Oryctolagus cuniculus: one gene and its partner. The protein of the gene in region 1 interacts with the protein of each later gene in a biochemical or structural test. Links are inferred from orthologs where the notes say so. Each region holds a gene or a part of one and is shown on either strand. Other genes may lie near its edges.

The links. The genes of interacting proteins can lie anywhere in the genome.
Region 2: of the proteins of USP33 (region 1) and ARRB2, one has a biochemical effect on the other in vitro, tested with the Homo sapiens proteins (2 studies listed by BioGRID, with this or other methods). The link is inferred for Oryctolagus cuniculus from reciprocal best matches to the Homo sapiens genes USP33 and ARRB2.

What each region holds. Positions count from the first base shown.
Region 1 is NC_091438.1:94,096,091-94,099,623, reverse strand, and holds part of USP33 (ubiquitin carboxyl-terminal hydrolase 33), read right to left. Parts: intron 1,276-3,533; coding exon 1,230-1,275; intron 739-1,229; coding exon 558-738; intron 1-557. UniProt on the Homo sapiens protein: Deubiquitinating enzyme involved in various processes such as centrosome duplication, cellular migration and beta-2 adrenergic receptor/ADRB2 recycling.
Region 2 is NC_091448.1:51,504,642-51,508,957, reverse strand, and holds the start of ARRB2 (beta-arrestin-2), read left to right. Parts: upstream 1-1,493; 5' UTR 1,494-1,627; coding exon 1,628-1,650; intron 1,651-4,316. UniProt on the Homo sapiens protein: Functions in regulating agonist-mediated G-protein coupled receptor (GPCR) signaling by mediating both receptor desensitization and resensitization processes.

The sequences.
Region 1 (3,533 bases):
GAAGAAAGATCTTCCATCTGTTGATGCATTCCCCCAAATGCCTGCAACACCTGGGACTGGGCCAGGCCAAAGCCAGGAGCTCTGAACTCCATCTGGGTCTACTGTGTGGCATGGATCTAAGTACTTTCAGAGTGTGTGTTAGCAGGAAGTTAGATGCAGAAACAGATTCGGGCCTTGAACACAGGCACTCCAATATGGGATGCAGTCACCCCAAGCAGTGGCTTAATTGCTGCACCAAATTTTCACCTGCGATTTTTTTATCCACAAATGTTTTAAACTGACACAAAAGTGTACATATTTATGAGGCCCATGTGATAATTTAATATATGTATACAATGTATACTAATCAAATCAAGGTAAAAAGTATTTCCATCTCCATTAATGTTTAATATTTTTTAAGCTGAAAATATGGCATGTTTTTTAAAAACAGCAGTAAAATCTTTTGCTTTTAACTTTTTACATTTTTTATTCTGGTCAGGTAAGTCTTACATAAGAGATTAATTCATATGTTTTACTTCTATTTAATCTAAGAACAAAAGTTAGAGCTGTGTACTTACTACTTGCAGTTCCATGATGACAAATGACTGACAAAAGATCGTAAGTCACAATTTGAGTTGGACTATCCTTAGCAAGAAATGGCTGGAGATCCAGGCCTTCCAGTGGAAATGAAACATGAGTGCTGATTTTGGTGGAAAACATCAGTTCATGTCTGAATCTTTTAAGGTGGATGCATAAAATCTAAAAGACAACAAAATTCAAAACCCTAATTTATCATTAGAAAAAACTGAAAACATTCCAAGTGGTAAAACTTACTACATAAACATTATCATTCTACAAGAAGAAACTTGTTCAATCAAAATAAATTTACAAAGGTAACATTACCTAATATTTTACTTAATTTTATCCGCTAGATAAAGAAGTCTATTAAAAACTGATATTGTCTCAAGTTTAAACATTAACCTGCAATTACAACCTGAGTCCAGAAATGCTCAAAATGTGGAAACGGTGAAACATGTTGCTTTTAAGTATACTGATATTTGTTTTCCTAATTTTATTCTTTATACTCTTGCAAGATCTTACATTATTTAAATCATGTTCAACAGAGAACACCATTATGGGCTCTTACAGTCCATTCCATTTTTCAATCATGCTAAAAGAATTTATTTCTACACTGCGTTATATTAATGCTTTAGCACATAAAACAAATTGAATTAAAATAAAGTTCATACCTCAGGAAATTTTTGTACTTTACAAAATTTTACTCCATTCCTTAATCTAGGTGGGAAAAAGAAAACCAATGAATCTACAAGAAGTTTAATATCTTTAAATATAACATAAAAATTCTTAGAAAATAAAGACAAAAGGTATCAGTCTAGAAATGTTTACTACTGAATTATGTTATACCATAAATAATAAAACACTAGGGTTCCTTATTGCCAAAAATAATTGATATAAAGATATCAGTAATATAATTGAAGGCAGCTGATGAAAATCATTTTTTGGAGAAACAAATGTGCTCCTATTTATTTTGGCTATAGCTTTATAACAGATACTAAATAAAACTGGATAAAGCAAAATTCTAACTTTATAAATTTGTAGTTCAGATAAATATATTAAAACTTTTATTCTTAAATGTGGGAAAAAAAACACTTTTGGGCCGTTGCCTGCAATGTCAGCATCCCATGTGGGCACTGGTTCAAGCTCCAGCTGCTCGACTTCTGATCGCACTCCCTGCTAACACGCCTGGAAAAGCAGCAGAAGATAGCCCAAGTCCTTGGGCCACTGCACCCCTGTGGAAGACTTAAATGAAGCTCCAGGCTCTTACAAGCAAGCATTTAGTAAGTGAACCAGCAGATGGGAGATCTTGCTATCTCTCCTCTCTGTAACCCTGCCTTTCAAATAAATAAATCTTTTTAAAAAAGGAGTGGGAAAAACTTGATATAAAAGATGACTTAATAATCAATATTAATACCTGACAAATCTCTACTTTTGATTTGGATTTTCACTATTATCTTTTTCCTAGTATGCTTTACAAGAAAGGATCTTTCTCCAGGTCAGTACCCTCTTCAGCTATCAGCTAAGACTTCAAGGACAAACCGATAAAATCTTTCCAAAGTACAAGGCAGCATTTTTGTTTAGTCAAACTGTGTTATCATTCCTTTCTGTTATGTAAAGGACTCAAAGCTGCGGACACTGTTTTCCTGAGTTTATTGCCAATAGCCAGAAGCCTGTATTTTTTGTTATTATTCCTTTTTTTTTTTTTACTTTACTTACTTACTTAAAAGACAGAGAAGGAAAGACACAGAAAGATCAATCTGCTATCCACTGGTTTACTCCTCAAAATGCTGCCACAGCCAAAGCCAGGAGCTAGGAATTCCATCCGGGTCTCCTATGTTGTGTGGCAGGGGCCCAAGCACTTGGGCCATCATCTGCTGCTTTCCCAGGCATTAGCAGGGAGCTGGTTCAGAACTGGAGCATCTGAGACTTGAACCAGCAGTCACATGGCATGCTGGCAACACTGGCCTCAAAATTCTGTAGTATTAAGATGCTGTATTTTATTAGAAGCCACTATTTTTCTATTGCAGAGATTCAGAAAAATTTTCCAATTTACCTAAAAAAATAGCCATCTTTATCAAGTCTCCAATAACTTTTTTCTGACTACCACCAAGGAGATTTGCAAGTCTGAATTAATATTTTTTTTAACTTTTATTTAATGAATATAAATTTCCAAAGTACAGCTTATAGATTACAATGGCTTCCCCCCCATAACGTCCCTCCAACCCGCAACCCTCCCCTTTCCCACTCCCTCTCCCCTTCCATTCACATATAGATTCATTTTCGTTTCTCTTTATATACAGAAGATCAGTTTAGCATACATTAAGTAAAGATTTCAACAGTTTGCTCCCACACAGAAACATAAAGTGAAAAATACTGTTGGAGTACTAGTTATAGCATTAAATCTCTTAGCACACTAAGGACAAAGATCCTACATGAGGAATAAGTGCACAGTGACTCCTGTTGTTGACTTAACAAATTGACACTCTTTGACAACTAACTGAGCACCAAAAAGGAAACCTGTTAAAGTGAAATGAACACTATGAGAAACGGTGACTTGATCAGCCCTCACCCTGACTGTTGATGAGCAGCTTAATATGTTATCCCTTTTAGTATTTTTTTGTTTGTTCTACTTAATACTTTTGGTTGAATACTGTAATCAATACACAATTCTTCTTAAGTGCTGAAACTTAACTGAAAAGTGATCGCTGTTAAATATAAGAGTGGGAATAAGAGAGGGAAGAGATGTGCAATTCGGGACATGCTCAAGCTGACTTACCTCAAACAGTAGAGTTAGAATCATACCAGGGGATTCGAATTCAATCCCATCGAGGTGGCATGTACCAATGCCATCTCACTAGTCCCAGTGATCAATTTCTGTTCACAATTGATCATAATGATTGGGCTAAGAACCAAAGGGATCACATAAACAAGACTAGTGTCTGCAAATACTAGCTGATAGAATCAAAAAGGGAGAG
Region 2 (4,316 bases), on another chromosome or scaffold:
TGAGGCGCCGGTTCTGTCTCGGTTGCTCCTCTTCCAGTCCAGCTCTCTGCTGTGGCCAGGGAGGGCAGTGGAGGATGGCCCAAGTGTTTGGTCCTGCACCCCATGGGAGACCAGGAGAAGCACCTGTTTCCTGGCTTCAGATCAGCGCCGTGCGCCGGCCGCTGCTGCGGCCACTGTGGGGGTGAACCAATGGTAAAGCAAGACCTTTCTCTCTCTCTCTGTCTCTCTCTGTCTCTCTCTCTCTCTCACTGTCCACTCTGTCAAAAAAAAAAAAAAAAAATCCCTTAGAGTCCTAAGCCCAGAAATGTCAATCATCCATCATCCTCCCTGAGGTCCAATGTGACAGCCCCAGAAATGATCCTCCAGTCCGGCCCCTCTTCTCCCACCCGCTCTCAGCCATCTCCTACCCTCCGCAATGCCCAGGATTAATCTCCAAAAACAGAACTCTCATCGTGACACTCCACGGCTTTAAAAAACCGGCCCGGGTTCCACGTGTCCTCCTGCGGGGCGGGCCCGCCGCCCCAGTCTTCCCCTCTGCCTGCGGGACAGGATGTGCCCGCCTCGCCTCGCCTCGCCTCGCCTCGCCTCGCCTAGCTTTCCCTTCAGAACGCCCTTGCTCAACGTGTGCCCGTTCTTCGGAATTGGCGTCCTCACATTTCCCTTCCTCTGGGCAGCCTGCCGAGCGCAGTGAGCTGCTCTGTCTTCTGAGTCAGCCCTCTATTATAGCATTCCTGGACTCATGACACCTGTCCACGTGTTCCTCGACTGGACCAGAACGCCAGGGGCCGCGATCACTCATGCGTGTCTCCAGGGCTCTGCTCAGCGTCTGGCACAAAATGGGGCCGGGGTGTGGGGGCACGGATGGATGATGGATGGATGGATGATGGATGGATAGATGTTAGCGGGGACCGGCGGGTGGAGACGTTGACATTAGAAACCCTGCACAAATCCAAGACAGACACCAGGGGGAGCTGAGACACCGCAACAAAGCCGGAGGGCGGGCCTAAGGAAACCGCAAGCTCTGGGATGAGCCGAGGAGCGGCGCGCACCCTAGCAGGCATCATGCAACTGGAACGGCTCACCCACGTGTGCATCCCCTCACCCTCCAGCCCAGACTGTTTGAGTTCATTCCACCGCCCCCACCACCCCGGCAGCCCCCATCTCCACCGAGAAAGCAAACAAAGGGGAGGAGACCCCTACTGGGTTGTGGATGCCAGGAGCCAATCCGAGGGCTGCAATCTCCTGAAGGGCGGGCGCCTCGTTGGAGCGGCCCAATCCGCTTGCAGGGATCTGCGGAAGGGCGGGGAGATGGGCGGGAGAAGCGGGAGAAGGGACCGCGCGCACGGGGGGAAGGGCTCCCCTGGGGACTGGAGCGCAGAGGGTGGAGGCGGAGCCAATCACCGCGCGAGTCTGTGAGGAGAGGGCGGGAGCGCCCGGCGCGCGCGATCCGGCTGACGCATCTGGCCCCGGTTCCCCAGGCCCGGAGGAGGGGCCCGCAGGGGAGGGGGAAGAGGAGACAGAGCGGAGGACGCGCGTGCGCAGTGGCGCGGGGAGGAGCAGGACCTAGCAGCGGGCGAGAAGGCTTGCGAGCCAGCCCCGAACCGGGCGGGCGGCGGGCGCGCGCACCATGGGGGAGAAACCGGGGACCAGGTAAGGGAGGTGGGGCCGCGCGGCGGGATATGGGTGGCTGCGGCTCGGGGCTGGTGCCGAGATAGTCTCCAAACAAGGACACCGGGGAGGGAAAGCTGGGGGCTGGACGCCTGGGTCCCCAGGGGGCAGCCATCGGGGCCCCACGCTTAGGTCCTCGAGGGTACTGGGGTGAGTGGGGGCGCATGCACGGGCCCTTGCAGAGAGCAAGGCCTGAAGGGTACCAGAAACCGGCCTCGGGGGTCCTCGCAGGGATGTAGGGGTTCTCGCGTGCGGGCTGCGATGTAGGAGGAAGCAGGAGCAGGTGGCCGGTCCCAAAGGGTCGCGTCCCAGGAGGCTGGATGCTGGGAAGGGGATTCCCCCTCTAGACTCGTGCGGAGCCCGAGGGAAACCTGCCCAGTACCCTACAGCAGAAGGGCTGCCCCCACCTGTCCCAAGGACCGGGCGGCTCCGCTTCCAAACTTCTGCCTTCCCGTGGGTTGCCAGGAGCAACAGCTTCATCTTGAGGGAGCAGAGTGCGTGGCGACCCTCCCCGAGGCTGGGCGCCGCGTCCCTTCCCAGGGCGCGGGGGAGAAGGGTCTGCCCCGAGCCACGCATCCACTCCCCGGATGTTTTCTGTGCAATTGAGGCTCCTTCCTTCCACGGACACCCCGAGTTCTCTTTTTTGGTCTCTACCAAAATCCACTTCCTGTTGTGACCCAACACCCCCAAGGGGGCAGGGAGTGAATGCCGGGGCCCCAGGGGAGCAGGAGCAAAAGAAAAGGTTGGGGCTGTTTGTCTCAACCAGGAGGGGCTCATGAGTGGTCCTGAGCTGTCACTAGAACTGCAAAACAAGATCCCATCAACCCCACCCATTGAGTAGGAGAACCCAGGCTTCGGCTTCTGAGCGTAGAGTAGACCACTATCAGGGAGAGGTCAGCGCAGCAAGGGAAGATGGGTGTCCTGGATTAGGGGCTAAGCACCCTCAGAGAAGGGAGAAGTCACTGACTTGGAGGAGGCCCCCAGTTTCCGTTATGTGGTTTAGGGAGTGGGGGACGGATGGGCCAAAGGAGGGCTGCTGACTTGGCATAATTCCCTCCACCCCCATCAAATTCTGGGCCACAGGAAATGGAGAGAATAGCAGGAAGCGCGAAGGGGCATCTGCTTCACTGCCCCCCACCCTGACCGGGCACCTCCCTGCTCATCCCCACACTGTCTCCCTGGGCGGCCTGAGCACGCACACGCTGCTCCTCCCTGCCCTGGCAGGAGGGGGCCAGGTTAGGATCCAAAGGGCAGGTGCTCCAGGGTAATTGCCCCAGAGCCACACTCCTCTTGGCCAACTGATTAGCGCCCCTGCTGGGTAGAAACGCTGGGGCAAGGAGGGGACCCAGAAGCAAAGGGGAGGGAGAGCCTGGATGATGCCAGAGCAGTCAGCCCCCCCTCCCAACCCAGGATGGGCAGAAGGTAGGGTGCTCATGCTGGCTGCCCCCTCATTGACAGCTTAGTGACTGGGGAACTTCAGGGGCTGCTAAGCCCTTTGCCATATGACCTTTGGACAGCTTGCACTGGGGAGAAGGGGCAAGTGGAGTTCCTGGAGCAGACACCGGGGTGCTGGAGGGGAAGGAGGGAAGGGCCAGGCGGCAGCCCTTCAGTTTCTCCTCTCTGGGACCCTTTCCAGCGGGCACTGCCGAGCAGAATGGACTAGAAGGAGTTAGATGGTGCTTCCAAGGACAGGCCCACACGTGGCCAGAGCAGGGGTCGCCAGACACGTCCCTCCCCTTCCAGAGTCTGATGAGGCTTAGATAGTTTCAGCAGCTGGGAAGAAAAATGCCCTTCGGCTCAACAAACTGTCAGTGCTCACTACAGAGATAGACAGTGTAACCGTGTAGCTGTTGGGAGCTGAGACCCACAGCCAGCCTGCCTCAGTTTGTGTCGGACTTCTGTTTTACTCTGTGACCTTAGACGAAGTAGTTGACCGCTCCCTGCCTCAGTTTCCCCAACCCGTACAATAGGGCTCTTGGGGGCCCACCACTGGGCTGTTGAGTACTAACTGCGATCACGCACTTGGAACGGTGCCAAGCACGGCACAGTCACGCAGAAAACGTTAGCCACAATCACCCTCTGCAGCGTGCGGTGGCTGCCGCGCCGGGTGTGCCGAGGTGAACGAGGCCTCTGAGGCTTCGCAGGGCGAGGAGGGAGGCAGAGGAGGCACCGCTAACTGCTCTGGGTGCTATCACACCGCAAGCGAAACATAAACAAGATGTGACAGGAACCCTGAGACTGGAGGGTCTGGGGCCTGGACTGCGTCTGCTTGCCTTGAAAGACAAATAGGACCTGAAGCTGTTGAGGCCAGAGACAGGGCCGGTCGGTAGTTCAGGGAGCGGGGTCAGCCTTGGGTAGTGCCTCTGGTAGGAACTGTTTGGCGGGACAAAGGCCAAGGCCGAGCTCTCCGTGGAGCTGGAGACCAGATGGAAAGACAGTGAGGTCTTAGGGAACCACAACCTCCCCGTTCAGTGCCCCCCGCGGGAAGGCCCCTGGGGAAGAGCCTGGGTGGTTCCTGGAGCGGCCAGAAGCCATTCCCATGGTGGGAGGGGGGTTAGCGAGGGTGGACCTAGGACAAGAGAAGGGGCGTTTGCCCTAGCAACCGGCTTCAAGGGGCTGCCGGGTGTATAAAAGACTGCCAGGGAGGA